Caenorhabditis elegans: one gene and its partners. The protein of the gene in region 1 purifies or fractionates together with the protein of each later gene. This does not show direct contact. Each region holds a gene or a part of one and is shown in the gene's direction. Other genes may lie near its edges.

What was found.
Region 2: the proteins of ZC84.6 (region 1) and sucl-1 fractionate together in Caenorhabditis elegans (co-fractionation; one large-scale study listed by BioGRID). This does not show direct contact.
Region 3: the proteins of ZC84.6 (region 1) and nspg-12 fractionate together in Caenorhabditis elegans (co-fractionation; one large-scale study listed by BioGRID). This does not show direct contact.

The regions. Positions count from the first base shown.
Region 1 is NC_003281.10:9,192,314-9,203,460, reverse strand, and holds ZC84.6 (BPTI/Kunitz inhibitor domain-containing protein), read left to right. Parts: upstream 1-3,755; 5' UTR 3,756-3,953; coding exon 3,954-4,011; exon of another isoform or gene 4,012-4,103; intron 4,104-4,419; coding exon 4,420-4,505; intron 4,506-4,555; coding exon 4,556-4,948; intron 4,949-5,015; coding exon 5,016-5,343; intron 5,344-5,390; coding exon 5,391-5,759; intron 5,760-5,806; coding exon 5,807-5,929; intron 5,930-5,975; coding exon 5,976-6,149; intron 6,150-6,197; coding exon 6,198-6,671; intron 6,672-7,035; coding exon 7,036-7,397; intron 7,398-7,442; coding exon 7,443-7,578; intron 7,579-7,627; coding exon 7,628-7,925; intron 7,926-8,181; coding exon 8,182-8,378; intron 8,379-8,427; coding exon 8,428-8,724; intron 8,725-8,776; coding exon 8,777-8,962; intron 8,963-9,012; coding exon 9,013-9,507; intron 9,508-9,529; exon of another isoform or gene 9,530-9,610; intron 9,611-9,635; coding exon 9,636-9,817; intron 9,818-9,864; coding exon 9,865-10,102; intron 10,103-10,162; coding exon 10,163-10,242; and 2 more. Other genes in the region: ZC84.1 (uncharacterized protein), read left to right, coding at 1-892, 960-1,925, 2,027-2,224, 2,296-2,556, 2,837-3,013, 3,061-3,369, 3,446-3,516; ZC84.7 (uncharacterized protein), read right to left, coding at 10,710-10,809, 10,920-11,023.
Region 2 is NC_003284.9:14,750,363-14,756,949, forward strand, and holds sucl-1 (Succinate--CoA ligase [ADP/GDP-forming] subunit alpha, mitochondrial), read left to right. Parts: upstream 1-3,663; 5' UTR 3,664-3,669; coding exon 3,670-3,715; intron 3,716-3,760; coding exon 3,761-3,849; intron 3,850-4,146; coding exon 4,147-4,524; intron 4,525-4,645; coding exon 4,646-4,817; intron 4,818-4,945; coding exon 4,946-5,166; intron 5,167-5,391; coding exon 5,392-5,454; 3' UTR 5,455-5,712; downstream 5,713-6,587. Other genes in the region: C05G5.3 (Matrix-remodeling-associated protein 7 helical domain-containing protein), read right to left, coding at 657-776, 824-961, 1,007-1,191, 1,236-1,287, 1,428-1,538, 1,587-1,640; C05G5.5 (Metalloprotease TIKI homolog), read right to left, coding at 5,713-5,896. UniProt on the Caenorhabditis elegans protein: Succinyl-CoA synthetase functions in the citric acid cycle (TCA), coupling the hydrolysis of succinyl-CoA to the synthesis of either ATP or GTP and thus represents the only step of substrate-level phosphorylation in the TCA.
Region 3 is NC_003284.9:5,253,529-5,259,252, forward strand, and holds nspg-12 (DUF19 domain-containing protein), read left to right. Parts: upstream 1-3,770; 5' UTR 3,771-3,780; coding exon 3,781-3,814; intron 3,815-3,864; coding exon 3,865-3,981; intron 3,982-4,028; coding exon 4,029-4,116; intron 4,117-4,171; coding exon 4,172-4,261; intron 4,262-4,309; coding exon 4,310-4,374; intron 4,375-4,422; coding exon 4,423-4,540; intron 4,541-4,595; coding exon 4,596-4,735; intron 4,736-4,777; coding exon 4,778-4,785; 3' UTR 4,786-4,856; downstream 4,857-5,724. Other genes in the region: nspg-14 (DUF19 domain-containing protein), read left to right, coding at 272-370, 420-540, 796-858, 909-1,000, 1,052-1,169, 1,229-1,371, 1,423-1,439; nspg-13 (DUF19 domain-containing protein), read left to right, coding at 1,666-1,717, 1,779-1,903, 2,131-2,183, 2,233-2,387, 2,823-2,940, 2,989-3,134, 3,191-3,219.

The DNA.
Region 1 (11,147 bases):
ACATGTTCCAATGGAATGGGATGTCCTGCAAATTACGAGTGTTACTTTGATGGAAGTCAATGGGGATGCTGTCCCACAAAAGCATTCACATGTTCTCTCAACACAGATTCAGGAATTCAATGTGGAGCTGGAAGCACATTCAAATACTATTACAATCCACAAACTCAGAACTGTGAATCTTTCCAGTACAATGGATGCGACGGAAATTCAAATAATTTCGCAAATCGAGACGCCTGTGAATCTTATTGTAGTGTAGGTGGATGTCCAAACGGTGGAACTCCATTACGAGATCACTCTGGAATGGTTATGGTATGTGGAGCTCAACAGACATCATGCCCAGACTCTCACGAATGTATTCCTGTCCTTGTCGGTAATTCATTGATCAATCGATGTTGTCCAACTCGTGCCTACATGTGTGGTCTTCCACCTCAGCAGGGAACACAGTGTGGAGCTAATTACGTTCAGAGATACTATTTTAATATTGTAACAAGTCAATGCACATCATTCCAATTTGGAGGATGCGATGGAAATGCAAATAACTTTTTAAATATTCAACAATGCAGAAACTTCTGTATGAGTAATGCTTGTCCAGCTGGAAATGTTGCTTATGTCGATCCAAACTCTCAAATGCCAATTAATTGTAATGAGGCACTAAGCAATAGTTGTCCATCTGGATATGCTTGTACCTTCAATCCACTTATCAATAATCATGTTTGCTGTGGAGCAACTGATTCTGGAGTTTGTCCAGAAGCCGAGAAAGCATTTATTGATACAATTGATATGTCACCAAGAGAATGTCTAATCAATATTGAACAATCTTGCCCAGCGAATTATCTTTGTAGATTCAATATGCAGAAGAATAAGTATTACTGTTGTTCAAGTATCACTGGAAGTGAGTTTAGATTTTAACTACTAAAAATTATAGATACTTTTTACGTACTCATTAAAAAAATTTTCAGAAACATGCCCCGTTGGAAAGTTCCTTTACAAAGATCTACGAACATCTCAACCAATTAGATGCACAATCGGACGAAATGATCAATGTCCCGATGGATTCACTTGTCAAAGTTATCTTGCCAACGCATTCCAAGGATTCTGTTGTACTGCAAATTCAGTTTGTCCAGATAATGCTGATTACCTTATTGATGATCAATCTCAACAACCAAGAGCTTGCACTCAAGGAACTTTTGTTTCGTGCCCCAATGGATATGCTTGCAGATCATTGACCTCATCCGCAGACGGTTTCTGCTGTAAATCTGGAACAGGAGCTCTTCCACCATCAGTTACAGATGGGTGTCCTCCAAATGAGTACGTGTATCTTGTTCAAGGAGAAATTGCTCAGTGTGATCCATTCAATCCACCGAATGCTCCATGTCCATCTGAGTTTACGTGCCAATGGTCTCTTTCCAATCAACGTTACCAATGCTGTGGTTCCAACCCTGCTCCAACCCCTCAAAGACCTTCTGATGGTTGCCCGAATGCTCAGATTGCGTTCAGAGATGCAGACGCTGTTAGAGTTTGTAGCGCTGGAGCAGCAAATTGCCCAGCTGGGTATTTCTGTCAATTCTCAAGTTCCAACAATCAATTCCAATGTTGTGGAGTTAGTGGTGGTTGTCCTGAAGAATCAGTTGCCTTTGTGGGAATGTCAGGGGAACCAGAGAAATGCGTTGTTGGGCAATCAAACTGTCCACGGGGATTCGCATGTCAAAAGTCATTAGCTGGACACCATGTCTGCTGTACAGTGAGAAAAGTTGCCTGTGAATCAAATGAAGTGATAATCGAGGGAGAATGCCATGCACAAGTTGGTCCTGGAAGTGAATGTCTTGCAAATGAGCAATGTACTGGTGGATCTGTTTGTGAAGATGCTAAATGTGAATGTAGACCACCGTTGAAGGCAGTTGGTGGATTCTGTCAAGAAGAGATTCGTGAGTTTCTTTATTTTTTATTTTTTGTTTTGAATTTTGGGCCAACTATTCAAAAATATTGTATTATCGAAAACTGTAAAAAATCTGCAATCTGCTTCCAGAATGCTCTTCCAATCAAGTACTTCATAACGGTCTGTGCCACAACAAAGCAAAACTTGGAGAAGCCTGTCTAACAGTTCGTCAGTGTCAAGAAAATTCAGGTTGTATTGAAGGGTCCTGTGAATGTAAGAAAGGATTCATTGAGAAGGCTGGAAAATGTATGACCCCGGTAGAGAAGAAATCCGCTGTATCTTCTAAGTGTGAGTTTTACAATTCTTGTCTTTCTGTGAAATTATTTTGAAAAAACAAAACAACAATGAAAATTTTGTAGCTATCAATAACGGAGTCACTTGCTCAAAACCAGGATGGAATCCACTTATCGATGAAGAACACGAGAGACCGAAACATTGTTCACCAATTGGAAAAGCTTGTCCAAATGGATATGAATGTCAGATTAATAATAGAAGAACTCAATATCTTTGTTGTGCTCCTGACATGTCAATGTCATCAACTGTTTCAATTCCTTCCTTGCCGCCTCCATCGACAACTACAACAGAAAGGATAATGACCACAAAAAAAGCGAATCTGAAAGGTAATCGATTTTTGTGATTGGAACAGTGATGCTAATTAGATGAAGAATTTATTATTTTAGTTGAAACGATAGGAAAACACTCAAAAACTGTTTGAAAGTTGATAATTTCTGGAAAATGTTATTGATACTTTTTTTGGCAACTTTCAATGACACTTTCCAACTTTTTGAAAAATTTTCCAATTGTCTGAACTAAAAAGAAATCTATCTGCGCGAGCTTTCTAAAAGTAAACATGCGCCTTAAACTCTTAAAATGTTTCAACACAAAAATACTATATTTAAGTTTGCCCAACTGGAAGAACCCCTTACCTTCTTAACGGTGCTCCACAAAAATGCACAATTTCGCGTTGTCCTGCAGGTTATGAATGTACATATAGAAATAATGGTTATCATTGTTGTTCAATGGCCAACAAGCCAGGTCTAACTGTTGCTGGAACTACCGGATCAGTTGTTTCAAAGTGTAAGATTTGAAGGAATCAAGTTCTATCATTCAATTTTGATTTTCAGCAACTCCATCTCCTGACCAAGAAAAGTGCCCACGTGGAAATCCATTGATCTATCCATCTACAAGTTCTCCTGTACTTTGTCAACCAGGAAAAAGAGGATGTCCAGTTGGCTTTGGATGTGTGCAGAGCTCGACATCCAATAATCATATTTGCTGTCCATCTCGCCATTCCGATCGACCTGGATATCAAAGTGAATCGTTCGGACTTGGAGCATATTACAGTAGAGGGCCACCAGCAGCCATCAATCCATGTGAAGGGTACTTAGTTCTTGTAACAAGAGGTGTTAATGGAAGAATTGAGAAGAGATGTGGTATGTTATCGAATATCAGTCAAGGAGAAATTATTCAGGTGATTTGTTTATAAACACAATATTTTTGAAATTTCAGAAAGAAGCTGCCCGTTCCCTCAAATCCCAATCGGAGGAGTTTGTTACGAGCTCAAGAACAAAGCAACATAATTTTTTATCACGTTATCTACTGTTCCCCGAAATCTCATTCCTCGAAATTTGAAATGTCAATTCTAATGTTCCCCCTCTCTTCGTAATGTCCACTCTTCGTGACCAGTGTGCGAGAGCAGAATGTTGATTACCTGACCCATATTTACAGTATTCCGCACCTTGTTTGCCCCCGTTTTGACACGTTGAAGGAATCGCCCTCCCCAACATGTCTCCGACTTTATCTCTTTTCTGTACCATTTATCACCACCCTATCACCACGAACTCATTTTGACATCCGGCGCGGAGCGACGCACATTTCTGTACTATTGTGTTCCTCTTTTGTCGAAATATTGTCACCTTCCTTATTAATTTACTATTAGTCACTATTCTATGATTTCAACCATTGTTTAAAATTATTATTATTAGTTTGCCATACTCCTTCACTTCCTTAATCCGTTATGGTCACTCAAGACCTTTTTCTTCTATTATTATTATTATTGCTCACTTCGTGTGCAGGTTCGTTCCACAATCACCCCCAAATTTGTTCTCATCAACCCGGCAGTTAGTCATGTGGTAGTTCGTAGGTACTATGTTACCAAATAAACTATGTTTACTTTTACATTTAAGAAAATACTCCGATTATTCATATTCATTCAGGGTGTCTTGGGATATTCCAGGAGTACTGTAGAAAATGTTTGGTAACCTAATAATAATATTTGAAAAAGTTCTCACAATCAGAATTCTGGAAAAGTATTTTGTTTAGATTTTCAGACATAAGTTCAAATAAATTCAAAAAAAAATAAGTTCACAACATTTCAGTTAAATAAATTTGAAAAAAAGTTACCAAAAGTTCAGTTAGAAAATAGAAAATAGATTAATTTTAATTCCTATAATAGTTCCTATGATGTTTTTAAAAAAATTCAGCTCAAATTGATGGGCTCCGAGACAAACGGCAAACTGGTAGCGGACGTGTTGGAGATGCTTGTGCGTTCAATACTGACTGCTTAGCTGTTAGTTTATAAAATTTTAATTTCCTAGAATGTCATGAAAATTATTTTAGGGGATGTTTTGCAATGGAGGTCTCTGCTCCTGTCTAACAACTTACATCGCAGCTGAAGGCTACTGTTACCAAAAAATAGATCCAGGACAGCCTGGATGTGTGTACAACGAGCAATGTGCATCAGTTTGGCCTGATGCATTCTGTGACACTTCTGCAGGAGTTGGAACGTGCCGATGTGGAGAGAATAAAGTTGAAAGAGCTACCAGAGATGGGCATGTTTGTTTGGATGTTCTTGATGCAAATCACAATACTCTAGCTATCACTTGTCCGCTACCAGAAGGTGCTGGTTATACATCAGCTTTATCTGATCCAAAGCATCCACGACAAAATGATGGGCCGGGACCAGTGTTGTGCAATACAGATAGTACTAATACAAATCAGGGTGACGAGCAGGTATGCCTATTTTTCCTTTGAAACCAGAAAACTCTCCCGAATAAAAACGGATCTTTCTTATATTCAGGCAGGTGACGGAAACTCAGCTTGCCTCTTCCCATCAAATGGCCAATACATTGCTGATCAATATGATTGTGTGGAGTTTGTCTCTAGTTTAGACCTTACATCCTCTGGATACAGTGAAAAAGCAAATGGTATCTGTTGCCCTAATCGTGCATTCACCTGTGTTCAACCAACTGCTACTGGACCAAATCCAACGGAACCTCGATGGTGGTACAACTCGATTACTGGAATGTGCCAACAGTTTTTATGGGATCCATCGGCTTCTGGCTCAGGAGAGCATTCACCAAACAACTTTAGAACCGTTGAGCATTGTGAAAGCTTTTGCAGAGATAGTGAGTTTAAAAAAATGTTTGTGTAGGAAACAAAATTTGATTTTCAGCGTGCTCTCGTGGAGCTCCGGAATACATCCACCGTACTTCGTTCCTCGAGCAGACTCCAATTACCGGATGCTCACAAACCAGTGCATGCTCCCATAACTATGAGTGCAAATCTGTTGGAAGTACTCAATGGTGTTGTCCTACGGTAGCTTCTGTTTGTGGTCCAGTTGGAGGCCGTCCACTCGATCCTTCCGTTAATAATCGCGGTACCGTTTATCATTCTGGTGTCGAAAAGCAAGGAACAGCTACATCGACAAGATTTTTCTATGATCCACAATCCGGAAAATGCAGTCCATTCACATATTTGGGAGCTGGTGGTAACTATAACAATTTCCTATCAAGAATTGATTGTGAACTTTATTGTGCAAGATGTGAGTTTTTTTCCAATTAACTGTCATGAAAGGAATATTAATTTTAGTACAATGTGATCGTGGAAACCCACTTCGAATCGGTGACGTCACTCAATCATGTGCATCTAATAATGACTGTCCATCATCTCACGAATGTAAAATGGATCAAGCTGTTTGCTGCCCAAGAATGCGTAAGATCCTGCAAACTACCACAGAGTGAGCAAGATAATTTTTCAGAAACAATCTGTACTCAACCACTTCGGGTTGGAAACTGTGATAGATCGGTAAGAAGGTATTGGTATTCAGCGGCAACAAGAGAATGTCAATCATTTGAATACACCGGATGCCAAGGAAATGACAATAACTTTGAAACTCTGGTTGATTGTCAGACATTCTGCAGAAATGCTGCACGTAAGCCTAGAATATTCGTCTGAATGATCTTTAAAATTATATTTCTAGCGGAGCCACGATGCCCTCAAGGCCAAGCATACAAGGATAACCAAGGAAAGTTTGTAACCTGCACTACGAATCGTCAATCTTCATCCTGCCCAGCAAACTTTGAGTGTTATTTTGATGGAAACATGCATGGATGCTGCCCCACCAAGGCATTCACTTGCTCCCTCTCTCCAAGTCCTGGAAAAACTTGTGGACCAGGTGTTTCTTTCAAATATCACTATAACCCACAGACGCAAGAGTGTGAATCCTTCGAATATCTTGGATGTGACGGAAATTCCAACACCTTTGCAAGTCGTGCAGAATGTGAAAATTACTGTGGCGTTGGTGGATGTGCAAACGGGGGAAGTCCACTGAGAGATAGTAATGGAGCACTGCAATCGTGTTCTGAAAGAGATGGTGGATGCCCATCTTCTCATGAATGCTATGGCGTCAGTTTGGGACCAGATATGATGTCCTACAGATGTTGTCCAACTAAAAGTAAGTTCAAAAAATAAATGATGCAGTGGGGGCCAAAAGCTTATGGGTTTTTGGGGTTTCGCTAATTTCTAACAATTTTCAAATGAGCATAACTCAAAAACTAGAAAAGTTAATCAGAAAAAATCAACTAATATGTTGCCGATGATTTTGTGTACAAGCAAGATTACATTTTACAACTTCACAATTTCAAAAAATACGGCGGCCGACAATTTGCAAGTCCAACCTGTAGACAACATTTTAAGTTACATTCTTTTAGTTGAACATATATTTCTGAAGTTCTTACTCATTTACAACATTTCAAAAACATGCAAAAAACCACAAACTTTCGCCCATCACTATAACTATTTTCATCTTAAATGTTCAGCCTACATCTGCGGTCTTCCACCTCAACAAGGATCCTCATTATGTTCTGGAGGGCTCACCGTTGTCACAAGATACTATTTCAATATTGTCACACGTAAATGCTCTCCATTCGTTTATAATGGTTGTGATGGCAATCCGAACAACTTTGCTTCCCTGAATCAATGTAACAACTTCTGCATGGCATCTGCTTGTAATGCTGGAGATGTTGTATATTTGAATCCAAACACAGCTCTTCCAATTTCATGCAATGACGAACTTCAGAACAATTGTCCAAAAAGTTTTCAATGTATTTATGACAGTTTGACAGATCAGAGTGTTTGTTGTGGAGCAACTGATATGGGAGTTTGTCCAGACAATGAGAAGGTTAGAATGAAACGCTTCTGTCTAATTTTAACGCTATGTTTTCAGGCTTACATAAATTCAATGGATGGAACAGTTCGAGAATGTTTGATCAATGAGCACAACTCTTGTCCGAAAGATTATTTGTGCAGATTCAATGCCATTAAAAATCGATATTTCTGCTGCGGATCAATGAGCAAAGCTAGTAAGTCAAGAATTATGAGAGTTATAAAAAATGTCGACGAATCCTTCAGATTACTGTCCGACGGGACGTGCCCCATTCAAAGACCAAACAAGTCTTCAGCCGACCAGATGCACAATGCATGCTGCCACGTCATCTTGTCCAGACGGCTTCGAATGTTTGAGTGATCTCAAGGATGCTCTTCAGGGATACTGCTGCTCTGTCTCTGAAATTTGTCCGCATCGTGAAGAATACTTTATTGATGAAACTTCTGGAATGCCACGTTCGTGTACTATCGGACATTTTGTCACTTGCCCTGCTGGATTCCAGTGTATGGCGCAGATTGATGGATCAATGGGATATTGTTGCAAGTGAGTTAGCACCAGTTTAGTAAAAATACATTTGTAATAATTCAAGATAGGCTAAAAGTCATTCTAGAACGCTACAAAAGTGTTTTGGTTTTGAAAAGGTCAGGTAAAGTTTTGGTGAAAAGCTTTACTGTTTTATGAACATTTGACGAAAGACTATAGCATCAAAAAATTTTAATAATGTTCCCACATAATATATACAAACCAAGTTTTTCTTGTTTATTTTCAAATGGTATTCTGATATGAAAAATGTCTTCAGAGGTCAACCCCAATTGACAGCTTCTGATGGTTGCCCACCTGGAGAAATAGTTTATATGGAGAGAAATGAAGTTGCAACATGTGATCCATTCAATCCTCATAATCAAGGATGTCCTGGAACATTCTCATGTCAATGGTCCATTAGAACTCAAAGATATCAATGTTGTGGAAGTGATCCATTGCCAACTCCCATGGAGAGTAAGTGTATTCCTTGATATAAAAATTTAAAGTTCTTATATTTTATTAGATGACGGTTGCCCAACTCGCCAGATTGCATACACCGACCCAGACACTAAAAAACCAAAAATATGTACATCTGCAAGTTTATCGTGCCCAGCTGGATATTTCTGTCAATTCTCGAATCAAAACAAACAATTCCAATGTTGTGGAATGCCAAGCGACTGTCCAGTACAAATGGTTGCATTTATTGGAATAACTGGAGAAGCCCAAGCGTGTTCAATGAACGGAGGAAGTGCCTGTCCTGATGGATTCTCGTGTGTTCGTGGAAAGAGTGGAGCTGAGTTATGTTGTGCTGGTGGAGAAAGTTAGTTCCCGAAAATAATTAGGCAGTTGTACAGTTTGAATTTATATTTCAGCATGCGAAGCTTCCCAAGTCCCTGTGAATGGAGTGTGTCTGAATAGAGTTTTAATTGGAGAACAGTGTGAAGAAACACCTCAATGTGTTGGTGAATCACATTGCATCGCAATGAAATGTTCATGTCCAACTGGAACAATTGAACAGAAGCAACAGTGTATGGATGTCTCAATTGAACGGGAAATAAGTGAGTTAACACTCAGAAATACAATGCGAAACTAATCAGCAAGTTTACAGAATGCACTGATAAACAAGTTAAAGTAGAAGACGAATGTTTCCCGTTGGTAACACTTGGAAGAAGTTGTGTACATTCTGCTCAATGTCAGGGAATGGGTCAATGTATTGATGGAGTATGTGATTGTGACGAGTCATCAGTTAGAAAAGGCCATCGTTGCGATAAGAAACAATCTGTGAGACCTTCTCTACCAATGAATGTTAACAAGTTTGCAACGGGTTCTCCTCATGTCATGAAACAGATTCAACCTCCGATGTCTTCTACATCATCAGCAGTCATCACGACAACAAGTTCCAATTGGCAGCCACAACCTGGTCATGCTGAAATCATGAATGAAGGTATCTGCCCAGCACCGAGACAACCTTACCTGGCAAATGGAATCGCAAGGCAATGCATCAGTGGACAACCATGTCCAGTTGGGTATTCATGTACTTGGAGTCCACAAGCGAAAAATTATTTCTGTTGTGCAGCAAACAAACTAGTCATGAGGACCTATGGTAAGCTAAGATCATCGGAATCTGCGGAAGCATCTTTAATATTTGCCCGCTATAATATGCCCGCTTAAATCTTAAGCTTTCAGGGATAAAACCTTCAGGGATAAAAGATATGAACAAATATTTTTCAGTTCTCAAGGACGTTTGTGACGGTGGTGAAGCTTTGTTGTTCCCGGCAACAAAAGCACCAGTGATTTGTACTCGATATGCAACATGCCCTCCAGGATATTTCTGTAGAAGGTCGCCAAAAACAAAACAGACACATTGTTGCAAAAAACGACAACCTTTGAATATGCAGAGCTATATTATTCAGGTAACTATTCATTCCTTCATCTAGAGAGCCTTCACTAAACATTTCAGATAAAAGATATCACATCTAAAAGACCTGAACCTCTCCGAATGGCTCATTCGATAGCATCAGCAGCCGTTCAGATGGCTTCACAATATATGCACCCAGGACGAAGGCGTCAAAAACCACAGCCAGTTCAGAAAACCAAGCCAGTGAAAAACGTGAAGCCAACGAAAACCACACTTCCCTGCCCACCAAATCAAGTGCTTCTAGAGATGGAAGTGAATCGAAAAATAATCAAACGTTGTCGTAAGTTCAATTTCCAAAAAGAAAGATCGAAAGTTATATAGCGTGTAAATGTTATTGCAGAAGCCACGTGTCCTGTCTCAATGCGTTCGGTCAACGGAGTGTGCAAAATCGAGCGTCGACCACCAGTAGTCACCCAATAACTTTTTCATTCATTTCCCGTGCCAATCGTCTTTCATAAGTATTCTTTCTCTCTATATGAGTAACCGAATGATCGTCAAAAAGCTTTTAATTTGAAAAGCCATCCAGTTGCTCTATTTTTCACATCTTTCTCATTGTTGTTGCGCCACTTTTTAGAAATTTTTGGTGGTGGAGAGACGCTCATTTGTTTTCAACGAACCACAATATGTGGTCACAAAAATCAAAATAAATAAGTTTATTAAATTTGTTTGAATATTGAAATTCAATTGAGAAATATATTTTATGTTAAAATTTTCAATTTTCGGAGATTGTTGCATCGTAATTTATCAGAAGGAAGTTTAGAAGACACATAAAAGATACAATAATCTCAAGATATTTAAAAGAATACAAATTTGATACAAAATGTTAAAATTTAAATTATTCGGTGAGAGAGAGATTCAGAATAAAATATATGCGAGTTAACAGGATTTTATACGTCTGGAAGTGCAACTTTGGCTGGTTGTGCTGGAATCGGAGATACACCACGCTCCACAATTTCATTGTATGATGGTGGCTCGTCACGATACGTGCTGAAATTTGCTAAATGAGTATATGTTTCAAAAATATTTGAAACTTTTTCAAGTTAGGTGGATTTAGGGATTGAGTTTGAGATATATAAAAACACATTAAAAGAACATACCTGATTCCATTATCAGTGATAAAGAACGGGCTTGTTGGTACAGTAAGTGAATTTCGATAAATCATTGGTGGAATTACCATTGTAACATCAACAATCGGAGAAGGCTGGAAAAATGTGGAAATTACTATAATTGACCCTATTCATACAAAATGCATTAGCCTATTCAATATAATCTAAACCAACATGTCATTTCAATTCCCATAATTTCCATAAATTTTCGATTTTCCC
Region 2 (6,587 bases), on another chromosome or scaffold:
ATGGGTCTAACATGTGAATAAATATATGAAGATTGTGAAAAGTTATGTAAAAATTGCTATATGAACATTTTACAATTTTTTTCTGGTGTGTAAATTGTCTCAAAATATCGAATTTTGTGAAAAGAACTTTTAAAATGTGGCCAACTAGAATCTAGAACTTCTAATGGCGCAATCTTTTTAGTGTTGTAGGTTCTGTGATTCAGATATATTTTTTGTCGATAGATAACTAGAGAAAACTAATTTCCGGCCGCTATGCCACAAAAGAGCTGGCAAAGTTTGAGGTTTCAAACTGCCAAAAAGCATTGCCAAGAACTTATTAAAAGGGCACATTAAAGAAAAAATTAGGTTTTGAATTTGACATTAGCAAGTCCTTTGAAGCTTTCACAAATCTTATGAATTCTCAAAAACTATTTATTAAAAAAAATACAATTTTTTAAATGTTTCAGAAATAACTTTATTTTTTTGTGTAATTTATTTTTCACAGTTGATTCAACAGTATTTATTTTTTTTGTACATGGAAGTTATGCGATGATGATCATGGGACAAATATCAATTATGGAATGAAGTGGATTGTGAGTTTTTGGTAAAAGTTTGCTGACATGAATTGTTTTACAATACGAAAGTAGCAAATAAAAAATAATTAAAAGATTATGTTCTTAAAAGTTGTAGAGATTCATTTGCTCTTTGATGTCGTCACTGCTCATGCCGAACTTTTCCTGGTTTTGCATCATCAGTCTCATGATTGATTCCATTTGGTTGTTTTTCATTTTTGCTTCCTAAAAGTTAAGTGGTTCATGTTTTAAAAAAAGAGGATTTTTCTCACATATTCTTTCTCCTCGTTACTCATTTCTGCGGCGATTTGACGGGTTTTCGCCTTTAATTGAGCAGTGGCAAGCTTTCCGTGGAGCTTTCCAATTGTTACATTCATCTTGTCAGCATCGGAAAGCTCTTTGGCAAAAGGCTGAAAATACAATTTTAGACTTTGGCCGAAAAATGTTGTGCTCACATTTTCCTGAGACGTTGACGGTTCATCTGGACAAAAGTTCTGAGTATTTGTAATTTTTCGGTTATTAAACTGTGGCATCTGCTCCTCTTCTTCATCTTCATCTTGCTCATCAGTTTCTGATTCACTCTCAGTTTTTTCCTCACTGTTGTCCTTTTCAGAGTTTGAAGCCCTTTCCTTTGGTGGGTCTGAAAATGAACATTTTTTCTGAAAAAAAAACTAAAATTCATACCATTTTCGCAAACTTCTGGGCTAAAGATCACACGATTTTTCTTGATGTTTGCCTGCAAAATATGATATTATTATAATTGTTAGGTTGCTCAGCTACTATTTCCTTGAGTATTTTAGCACGGATTTTAGTGTTATTTATTGAAAAGGTTGGAGTTTAAAACATGCAAAATTTTTTTAATTGTAAACAACTTACCGTATTCATTTTTCCAGAAAACTGCTCATCATTTTTCAGATTGCTTTTCGAATCTTCCACGCGCCCTTTAAAGTAAAAACGATTGATTAGCCACCCAATCAATGCTCCACACTGAATAATTGAATTATATTACAACTACTTCAATGGTGTTTTGCTTACCAGGATAGTAAATCCAATTTGAATATACTCTTCTGTAGTGTAGCCAGTTAACATTCTGTGACTCTGTAAGAAAACCTTCTAGAAACACGCGCTGAAAAAAAAAGAAACGAGGAAAGAAGGTACTTTCTCAGAGCAGAAGCAGGGGCAGGAGCAACTAATGAATTTTAAACAAGCGCAATGAGCACATTAGTAACATTCGTGTCGGTTGAGAATGGAAAATGGAGCTCGCTAGTCAAAACTGCCATTTCCGATGCATAAGTATGGCTTCCCGCGAAAGATTATCGCAGTTTATCCGCGGATGACATCCGGGCAAACGGACAGCGGATTTGAATGATAATGTGCGGATTCGGGAGGCTCGGGAGCACACCACCGCCACAAATCAATAAATTGCTGGGAAAGAAGAAGACGAGAGGACGACGGGAGAAAAAAAAACAGCGAAAAACTGGAAAAAAAACGTTTTCACTGCAAGACACGAGACAACTTTCAAGAAAGTTGACCAAACCGTTGAGAGGAGGGAAAACTATAAATTATTTGTAAGCTTTGAGCATAATCTCCAAGAGCGATTGTGCGCACGTGAAACGAATGATTGGGTGATAGAAAAATAAAAATAAAGTCAATTTTGCTGACAGAAATGTTAGTTTTAGATATTCCCTTTTCTCTATGCATATTTTTTTTGTAATTTGAAAACTATTGTTGAAGTTCGTATTTGATCATTGATAGATAAAATGTTCGAGAAAGTTGATTACTCAATTTTTATCATTTTGCAGAAACGAAAACCGAAGAACAGTTTTCTTTTTTTTCTAACAAGCTACCTAATTTTTTCAGTTAGTTAACAGGTTTTTTTTGATATCAGACAAAAAAGATTTGAATATTTGAATCGTTATTTTTAAAGTTAATATTTTAAGACCAAGCATACCTAAAAAATTAATGTCCAACTTATTTCTAATTCAAATTGTAATTTATTAAAATTTGAGGTTAAATTGAAGTCGTAGGCTTATAAAACCACATCTGAATTTTTTGAAATGATTAAAATTTTTGGGGTACGGCTTCTCCATAGGTATTCAAAAATGTTGTTTTTTTTTAATTTTTGAATTCTCAGTATTTTTAAGACTGTGTAAACAAGTAGTTAATTCCACATGTTCTTATTGACTAGCGTATTTTAATAAATGAGTGAACTTATAGACTAAAAATATATGTTTATCAATTTTGAAGCAACAAAAGTATGCAATAAATATTGACAGTTTGGTAAACGGTTGGACCAGAGATATTCAACTTCAAACGCCCTTAGATTGTTTTAAATAATTACGAGAACGGTCACTATGTAACTAAGTCGGTCTGTCTTGAGACTACTACAGCAATAGAAAAATGAAGCTGGAAAACCAATGTTGATTTCTAAAATTGATTACAGATTCAAAGCTGTGATTTGGTTTTGTCTGTGATTTAACAGTGAATTCCTTCCCTGGACAAAGAGTGATCAATTAATTTTTGTAGTTATACTGAAAAAAATTTCATAAAATGAGGGACCACTTCGCACTCCACAAATTTCTATAAATAATGATAATTAAAAGTCCACTTGCCCCAAACACTTTTCTCAAATGTCCACTTCCTCATCCACTGTGATAACTGCCAAAAAAAAAACTACTCGATTGTCTTTCGCCGACTTGGTTTCCAACTTGTGCAACCGCACCACTCACACTCTCCCGGCCGCCGCACAACGTGTGCAGGCACGTTGGAAGAGAGCGAGAACGGACGGGGCAGCGTTGGGCAGTGTCTAATCGTTTGATACTCAGCCAACCAATTGGCTGCGTACGTCCTTGTTTTCTCTGCTGCCTCTCACGCGATACTCACTCTCTACCCTTTTGTTTTGTGTAACACAAGAGTTAGTTGTTTAGATATCAAGGAATCTATTTTTTTTGTTGGTTTTATTTTTGTTTTTGATAAATCTTATTTTTGATGATACAACTACTTTAATCTATCTTTTTTTATTGAAAATAAGCTTTTCACATTTTCATTGCATCTTCTCGATTGCACCGTTCATCTTAAATTTTACGGCAATTGAATAATATCTTTCTTTCAGGGAACCATGTTGAGTCAGCAAATTGCCAACAATGCTAGAACTTTGCAGAAGGGTATGTTTGCCTATTTCATTTAAATCACCTTATTTGTATTTCCAGGAGCTGCTCGTTTCTACAACAGCACTTACAACAACCTGAAAATCAACAAGGACACCAAGGTTATTGTGCAAGGATTCACAGGAAAGCAGGTATACCCGAATAAATTTATGAATGGCGTGGGAGCTTCTGGAGCGATAATATAAACTCAAACACTGACAATACGCTTTATGCAAAATAGAGGTCACAACTCAGCTTCATAAAAAATTACATCTTAAAATGAAAACGCCTGTCTTCGCAACTCACTTTAAATTCAGTGTTTTCAAAGTTCAACGGCTATAAAATTTTAATGTATTCAGATATGCTTTTGACGTCAATACTTTGCGCATAGCGAACTCTTAAAATATCGAAAATATGTATTTCAAAAAAAAAATTCACAAAAATTTCAGGGTACCTTCCATGGAAAGCAAATGCTCGAGTACAACACTAAAGTCGTCGGTGGAGTAAATGCCAACAAGGCCGGAACAGAGCACTTGGGACTCCCGGTCTTCAAGAACGTCTCCGAAGCTCGCAACAAGACCGGAGCCGACGCCTCTGTCATCTACGTTCCAGCCAGTGCTGCCGGTAGCGCCATCGAGGAAGCCATGGACGCCGAGATTCCATTGGTGGTGTGCATCACTGAAGGAATCCCACAACACGATATGGTCCGTGTTAAGTCGCGTCTTCTCAAGCAGAACAAGACAAGACTTGTTGGGCCAAACTGTCCAGGAATCATCTCGGCCGATCAGTGCAAGATCGGAATCATGCCAGGACACATTCACAAGAGAGTAAGTTATAAATATTGTTGTAGAACCCTTTAAAATCCTTCTCAAGTGAAGTTGAACTTCGAAAACATGTTCAGAAATTATCAATTAAAAATTTTATCAAAACTGTTTGCTGAACTTGTAGGGATGCATCGGAATCGTCTCCCGCTCAGGAACTCTCACCTATGAAGCTGTGCACCAGACTACTCAAGTCGGATTCGGACAGACTTTGTGCGTCGGAATTGGAGGCGATCCATTCAATGGAACAAACTTCATCGACTGCTTGAACGTCTTCCTTGAGGATCCAGAAACTAAGGGTGAGCTCATGTTTCATGAAAATAATACCCTAATGTGAACTCAAACAATGTGATTTTGTATTTATCAGTACCCAGAGTAGCCAGTAAAAATTAAAAAAAAAAAGAATATGAAACCAATTATTTTCCAGGAATCATTCTCATCGGAGAAATCGGAGGATCAGCTGAAGAGGAGGCCGCCGCATACCTTAAGGAGCACAACTCGGGAGCCAACAGGAAGCCAGTCGTCTCATTCATTGCCGGAGTCACAGCTCCACCAGGCAGAAGAATGGGACACGCCGGAGCCATCATTTCGGGAGGAAAGGGAACCGCTGCTGACAAGATCAATGCTCTTAGAGAAGCCGGAGTAGTAGTAAGTTTTTACGTTTTTCCAGAATAAAATTTAAAGCTGCACTTTGAAGCTTGGGATATACAGTGTTCTGTTGCAAAAGTTGTCAAAATAATCTAGAACATTTATGAAGTTACACCTTGTTCATGACGATTTACCTTAGAATTTAACTTGAAAAGTCAGCAGGTTTTTAAAGATATTTTGAAAAATTAAACTTGGTTGCTAAAAAAATGCCATAATTTGTTTCAGGTTACCGACTCTCCAGCTAAACTTGGAACCTCCATGGCCACCGCTTTCCTGGGAAAGATCTAAACAGGAACCCTCGCTGATTTAATACTCAACTTGTCTCCCTCCCCCTTTTCTGTAAGAAAATAGCTTACACACTTTTTAGTGATCTTGCGTTTTTAATTTCAATATTTCTATGACTTCTCTCTTTTTTCTCTCTTTCTTGTCTCTTTTTCTCTAATTTTTTAATATGTTTGCCTCTAGATAACTGTGTGGCTGAATTTTTCCGATAAAATGGAAAAATTGCAGTTGTCGCAAACCAATTGATTGAAAGTTGAAAGTTGTTCATGGGAAAATGGCAAAGATGGAATGTAAAAGAAAAATACACGGAACTAGCCATAATCTAGCAATTCGACTGGACGATGGTGCTACTTCTTCGATGATTATTGATTTTCGACGAACTGCGGTTTCCTTGGTCCATACACGTTTGAACTTTGCGGTTTGACGGTAGGGAGATCGTAGGGGTTGACTGAAAATTTGCAGATCAAGAATCAAGAAGAATGTCGGTGGGTTAGATATGATTTCCAAACGCCGTAAAGTTTCATTCGCATGCGGTTTTCAAGTTTGGTAAATCGTCTGATCACGATGCCCATAAACCGCGATCATCTTTCAAAACATTATTGAAACACTAATTTACCAAATTTTAGAAAATCAAAATTTAATCAAACCGATTTTTTCTGCTGCATTAAAAAATTTTAGCAACTGGACCTATGTATCTTTTATATAGTTTCTTCCCTTGTTTAAATTCTGATTCCTATAGAAAAAATGTAAGGCTTTACCTAGGTACCTACTGAGTTACTAAGAGCTTTCTTCCTTCAACTTTGAAAAACTGTTAAACCAATTTTTTTCGTTATTATTCAATGTAGGTCTCCCTTGAGATCGCCGCAACGGTGCCTCTGCCGGCTTCACGGCGTCACTCAAGCCGCATGTATTCGAATGCATAGTACCGCGCGGTCCCCGAACACGCCGGCCGCTTCCAAAAAACTGTTTCTTCGCACACACCAAGCTACTCATTTCACGCCAAGCTGCGGAACCCGAGCGTGTCGGCCGCTCCAAATAACTACCTTTAGCATTTCATTGCGCACTCACAGCGGCGTCGGCGTAAGGCCGGCGTGAGGCCTGCATTTCGCGTCTCACTCAGCTGTGAGCCCTAGTTCAAT
Region 3 (5,724 bases), on another chromosome or scaffold:
AGTAACTTTTGCAAGATCGGGAACGTTCCCAAAATGAAATCTGCACAAGTATTAGACTACTGTAATTTCCTAAATCTAATGTGATTGTTGGTATTAGTTGCGTCACAACTAGCGGCGGGCATTTTCTTATCAAAAAGAAAATGTACGGTGGCACTGGATACGACTTTTAGAAACCAAACATTCCAGGCTCGATTATTTTTCAACCTATTAGAAGTTCTGGGAAAAAACTGAGAGACATGACCTTAAAAAATAAACCAATGAAAAGTTTCAGGCGTTGTGGCGGCACAAAACCCAAGTTTAACGGCATGCGATATCAATAACCAGCTAAATGTTTGTCAGAGTCAGTTCAATCAACTTTTGGGATTTGATGGTAATGAAACTGAAAAATAGAATTAAGCACAAAAGTTTTGGTGTTTCAGCTTCTCTCGGTGCTGCCAAATATCAAGACTTGAGAAGTGCCATTGAGCAGTCGTATGCCAATAACCAAGCATACGGGCTTCTTACAACTTGCGATGCCTTCAAGCAGTACAAGCAGTGCTAGTAAGTGACATAGTTTGCAATGTTGTGAGATTCACAATGTGCGACGGGAATATCTCAGTCGGTAGTGTGGTGATCGCAAGCAATCATGAGACCACTAGTTCAAGTCCTGCCTTTCCCTAGGATCACCCAACCTAGCTTGGGAATTAGAGGAATCCACTAATGGCTCGTGGCTTGAAACTAAAGCCTAGTGGGAGTTTAAAAACGGAACACCCTTTGATCCTTTAATTTTTACATCTCAAATCAACTGATTTATAGCCAACCAAAAGAACAGTTCTACGCATGTGCTCAGAACCCATACGGTCTTCTAACTGGAACCAAGTAAGTTCTCAATTCAATATATACTGTAACAGTTTTTGTCTGTTCTTCAGCAACAACGGCGCCCCACTCACACAGGATCAGGCTAATGGATACGTAAAAATCTGGAACCAACTTGATTTTGTCTGTGGTGCTGGATTCTCGAGTAAGATTAGCAATTATACTGTAATACTGAATACTAGAATTGAATTTTCAGTCTTTGCCAACTCTGAAGTTTGCGGCTCTTCTGTCTTTAACAACCAGACAGCTGCAATGAGACAGTGCGACAATGACTTCAACGTGAAGTCCATGGCTGACCCAGCTCAAGCTTGCGCGTAAGTTTTCAAGTTTTGTTTCCAATCAAAAAGAATAATGAATAATCTTAACTTTCTAGATACGTTGAGATCGCAGCCAACTGCTACTTCCAACTGTTCTGGAACGCTTGTAAGAAGCCAGAGATGGCCTACTGGGGTTGCAACTACGAGCGTACCGGTACCAATCTTCTCTTCCCACAGTGCTCTCAGATTTTCTGCACATGTAGGTTTTCAGAATGGGATGGGGTTTAAATAATGTTTATTTTATTTTCAGTCCACGAACGCGTCTGATCGTCTTTTGTTTAATCATCTCCATTTTTTGTTTTGGTCAAAATGTTTTATTTGAATTCACATTTTTGGGAATAAATCTATGTAATTTAATTCATAATTTTTTAATTTCAAAAATTTGTTTTCGTTTGAAATGCTTCAATGCATTGAATACTTCTGACTTTGTGTGTGTGTGTGTTTTTTTTTGCAAAATTAAAAATACATATTTGTGCTCACATTATGCTTTCAGATGTGGCAAGACCGGTGTTTGCCATTTCTTGCGTTGATTCTTGGATTGTCAGGTAAGTAAATTGAAATTAAAACTTGTGAAATATTTGTTTTAATCTTATTTTTTTATTCCAGGAGTCCAATCAGCCGGTCTAAACTGTGACTCGACGGTTTATTTTGAGTGCCAAACTGCTCTCAATGCGGTTTTGAGCATCAGCGACCCACAGCCATGGTTTGACCCCGAAAACTTCCGCAAGGAGGCAAGTTTTTAATACAATAGTTTCCACGCTTGCCATTCCATGAAATGATAACTGAATAAGGTGATATGACGAAGGGTGTGCATAGTGAAATGTGAAATGTGAGGTTTAGAACGTGTCGATGATAACTTTTAAGTCAATGGGATTAATTATGTCATCATGATTGTATTATAATCTGATTTTTTGATTATCAGAAAAAAGAGCAAAACACAATTATTGATTAAATTTAGGTGGAGACAAACTACCAGGCTCAAGGACCCAGTGGAATGCGTAAAGTTTGCAAGTCAGTACTTCACTAGATACTCTCTCTCGAATCCTGAATATAATTCCAGAGCTTTCCGCGAGTTTAAAGTTTGCATGGGCTCTGAATACGCGAACTGCATGTCTGCGGTCCATTTTGTTTCTGTATCGGCCACTCCATTCAACGCTTATCAATTTGTTGGACTGTTCAACCAAATGCACTTTGTCTGTGGAGCTGGATTGCAAAGTATGAATTTTTATTGTCATTTCCCGACGCGATGTCGGAATTGAATTTTGTTGAGTACACAATTACACATCTTTTTGGCATGGTATGAAGTTTCTAGAATAGGTGGAAAACACGGGGAGTGTCGAAATCAAACTTTCTGGGGCTTGCTGCTGTGGTAATTTATACACATTATGAGACTCTTAGAGGAATTTCTGAGTTATGATTAGAATAGGCATGAATACTAGCACATATTAGGTTTAAAAAAAACATTCAAGAGACGCAGGAAAATATGATATACATGGGAAATAGGTCCATCGCTGACCACAACCGAAGTCGGCTGCGCATTTACTATAAATTCCTAATTTGCTCAGAGATCAGAAATCGATTAACACAAAAATAGCGCCTTATACAGACTAATGGATTCCAACCGTAACGAGGTAACTTTCTTCATTTCAGCATACCTCCTTAATGAGGGCTGTATGTCAACTACTTGGAGAAGCCAAAGTGATGTCCTGAGACAATGCCGACTAGATTATGAGGTGAACAGTGACGTTGACGCAAATCAGGCTTGCACGTAAGAAGACCATCGGGTATTATTAAAAAACGCCAACCAAACTTACAGACAAGCCAATAAGTACTTGATTTGCTTCGAAACTCAGTTCAAAAACAACTGTGGTGAAAAATCAAACGATGCCATGTTCTGGGCTTGTGAATACTCAAGAGTCAATGTTTTTACTCGATTCCCTCAATGTGCAGCTAGATGTGTTTGTAAGTGAAACTTGAAAATTGTGAAATCTAGTAAAATTGATTTTGTTTTTTTGCAGTGCCATATAGCGGAGGAATCATCGGATGAGTCGAATAAAACGAAATGATGTCAGATACAAACAAATTATTAACTTTTTGTCATTCAATCTTAACTATGTATTATCATTTGTGATAAGAATAAATTTTTATTACTGAGAAAATGCCATCGGTATAGTATATGACAATCTATTGGTGTGGCGATGGGGAACTTCATGAAAAGTTTTGAAAAAAGGGTTTTGAAATAAATATTGCCAATAGCTTTTTTGGGACGTTTTCAACATTTGGTATATTAAACATTTTGGTAGGACAACAGATTATAAGCAAATTATTATTGAAAAAAAACTATTTTTTGACTGTGTATCTTTTATAAATTGTTTTACTTATTATGCAATATTTGAAATAAAAAATTAGTTTTTTTTTCATTCGTTTTAAAATTTCACCGTCAAATTCAAATACAAGGTTCCGAAAATACTTTTTCCGCTTAGCCCATTTAATGCAATAATCAATGTCTTTTAAGCGTACAGGATTATTGATAATCACTTCAACTGATAAGGACTGCAATTCTTAATCCCATAAATGAAACATTTCCCTAGCTTTTCCGTTCCACGACATGCTGTTGAATGTATTGATTGCGGTGTTGGCAAGTAAGTTCAAAATGTACCCCCAGATTGATTGACCTTTTAAGCATGTTCAGTAGCACCAACAGCTTTTTGTGCATGCGCTCCTTCAACTACAGGTACATGCACTCCAGATTTACTTCAGTGTTGCGGGCTACAGCTCAAATCTGATCTAGGCTTGTCAAACTGTTATGGTAAAGCTTTTATAACAATTTAATTGAATGAGCTATCAATTTTTGAGGAATTCTTGCTTTCGAGCCTGAATGTCACCGTCAAGAAATTGAAAACATGTACATCAACGGTATAAGTGGTTTGTTCAAAGTTTGCGAGTTCGTTTTTTCATACTTACATTGTCTTTTGCCCATCGAAAAAAATTGATTTCAGCGCTTTTAACAAGTACTATGAATGTCTTGGACCAGCACGACGTGACTGCACCAGCATTAGTTATCACGTGAAAGCAGGTCTTCGACTTGGGTAAGTTGGCACAATTCATTATTTCTGTTAATCTTACCAAGTTTTCAGAGATGCCGTGCAAGTGGTGTCAATGTACAAACAATTCGGATTTGCGTGCGGAGCTGGATTTGAAGGTAGGTTTTCAATAATTTTTGAGCAACAAAAAATTTTAAATGTTTAAGGATTCTCCAACAACGATGTTTGTATGTCGAACATTTTTTCCACAAAACAAACTCAGATCAGCGATTGCCGTGCCACATTTGCCAAGAATTTGTTGGCAGATTATAAGAACCACTGCATGTAATGAAATATGATCAAAAATTTACAACATAATTAATTTTTAAAAAATCTGCAGGTACTTCGAGCAATATACCGGATGTTTCAATGCATTGTTCGATCACAGTTCCTGTAACTCTGAGAGCTCTTGGTGGGGATGTGAATATGCACGACAAGCTGGTCGAGCTGTTCTGCACGATTGCAGTCTTCAATGCTCAAGTAAGTCCAAAACAGATTAATGAGCAATTTTTATTTTTTCAGCATTCTGAACGCCGGGAAGAAATGCAAATGTTTTATCAATTTTGTGGTATTTCGATTTTGAAATAAAATATTTCGTATGTTTCAACAAAAAAGCTAAATCTAAAAGAGATACCATCAAGTTGAAATAATTTCCCATCCAAAAAAAATTAATAAAACTTTTATTACAAAACAGTACAATACGAAATGTTATTGAATTTCGTAGAACCAGATCAAATTACATATTGCGCCACGTTGTTCTAACATTATTCGTAAAAAAATAGTGTGAAAATGTAAAAACTCATTTAATTTATCCGATAATTACAATCATTTTAGCTGAAAGTGCTTCAAAAATGGTTGGAAATTGCCAAATGATGAATCGAATTTTCCAGCTTTATATTTCCACAATTGATATCTTTCAGGCAATTTTTTTAGCACGTTTATTAATGTTTCAGCTAACGTCGATGTTATTTTCAAGTAAATCAAACAACATTCTGTAGTTCGGCACTAATTTTTTTAATGAAAAATGTGGGAAAAAATAATGCAACTTTTTTTGTAGAATTGCCGAAAATAAATGCCACCCACCCCTGATCATATATGCATTGGCAGGCTAAAATGAATACTTGGTACAATTTCAGAACATAACTTTTTTGTTGGTTTTTCAAAATAATTTTTTGGTCTGGTTCCAGTAAAATTTTCAAAAAAAAAACTTCAAATTGTGAATGCTTGTTAAATGGGTATCTATTTACACCTTAAATACTAGTGTGACTAAAAAGGTGTAATGCTATGGTAGAAATAATTGTTTGGTCCCATTCATGGCCCGTAATGGCTATGGGGCTTTCCCATCTACGACTCATAAAAAGTAGAAACACTTGTTTTCAACAGACCTGTAAATAAACAAGAATATTAGAAACACGATCACCATTTACTATATATAAAGCGCTTATTCCGTTTGTCCATAGTTTGTAGTC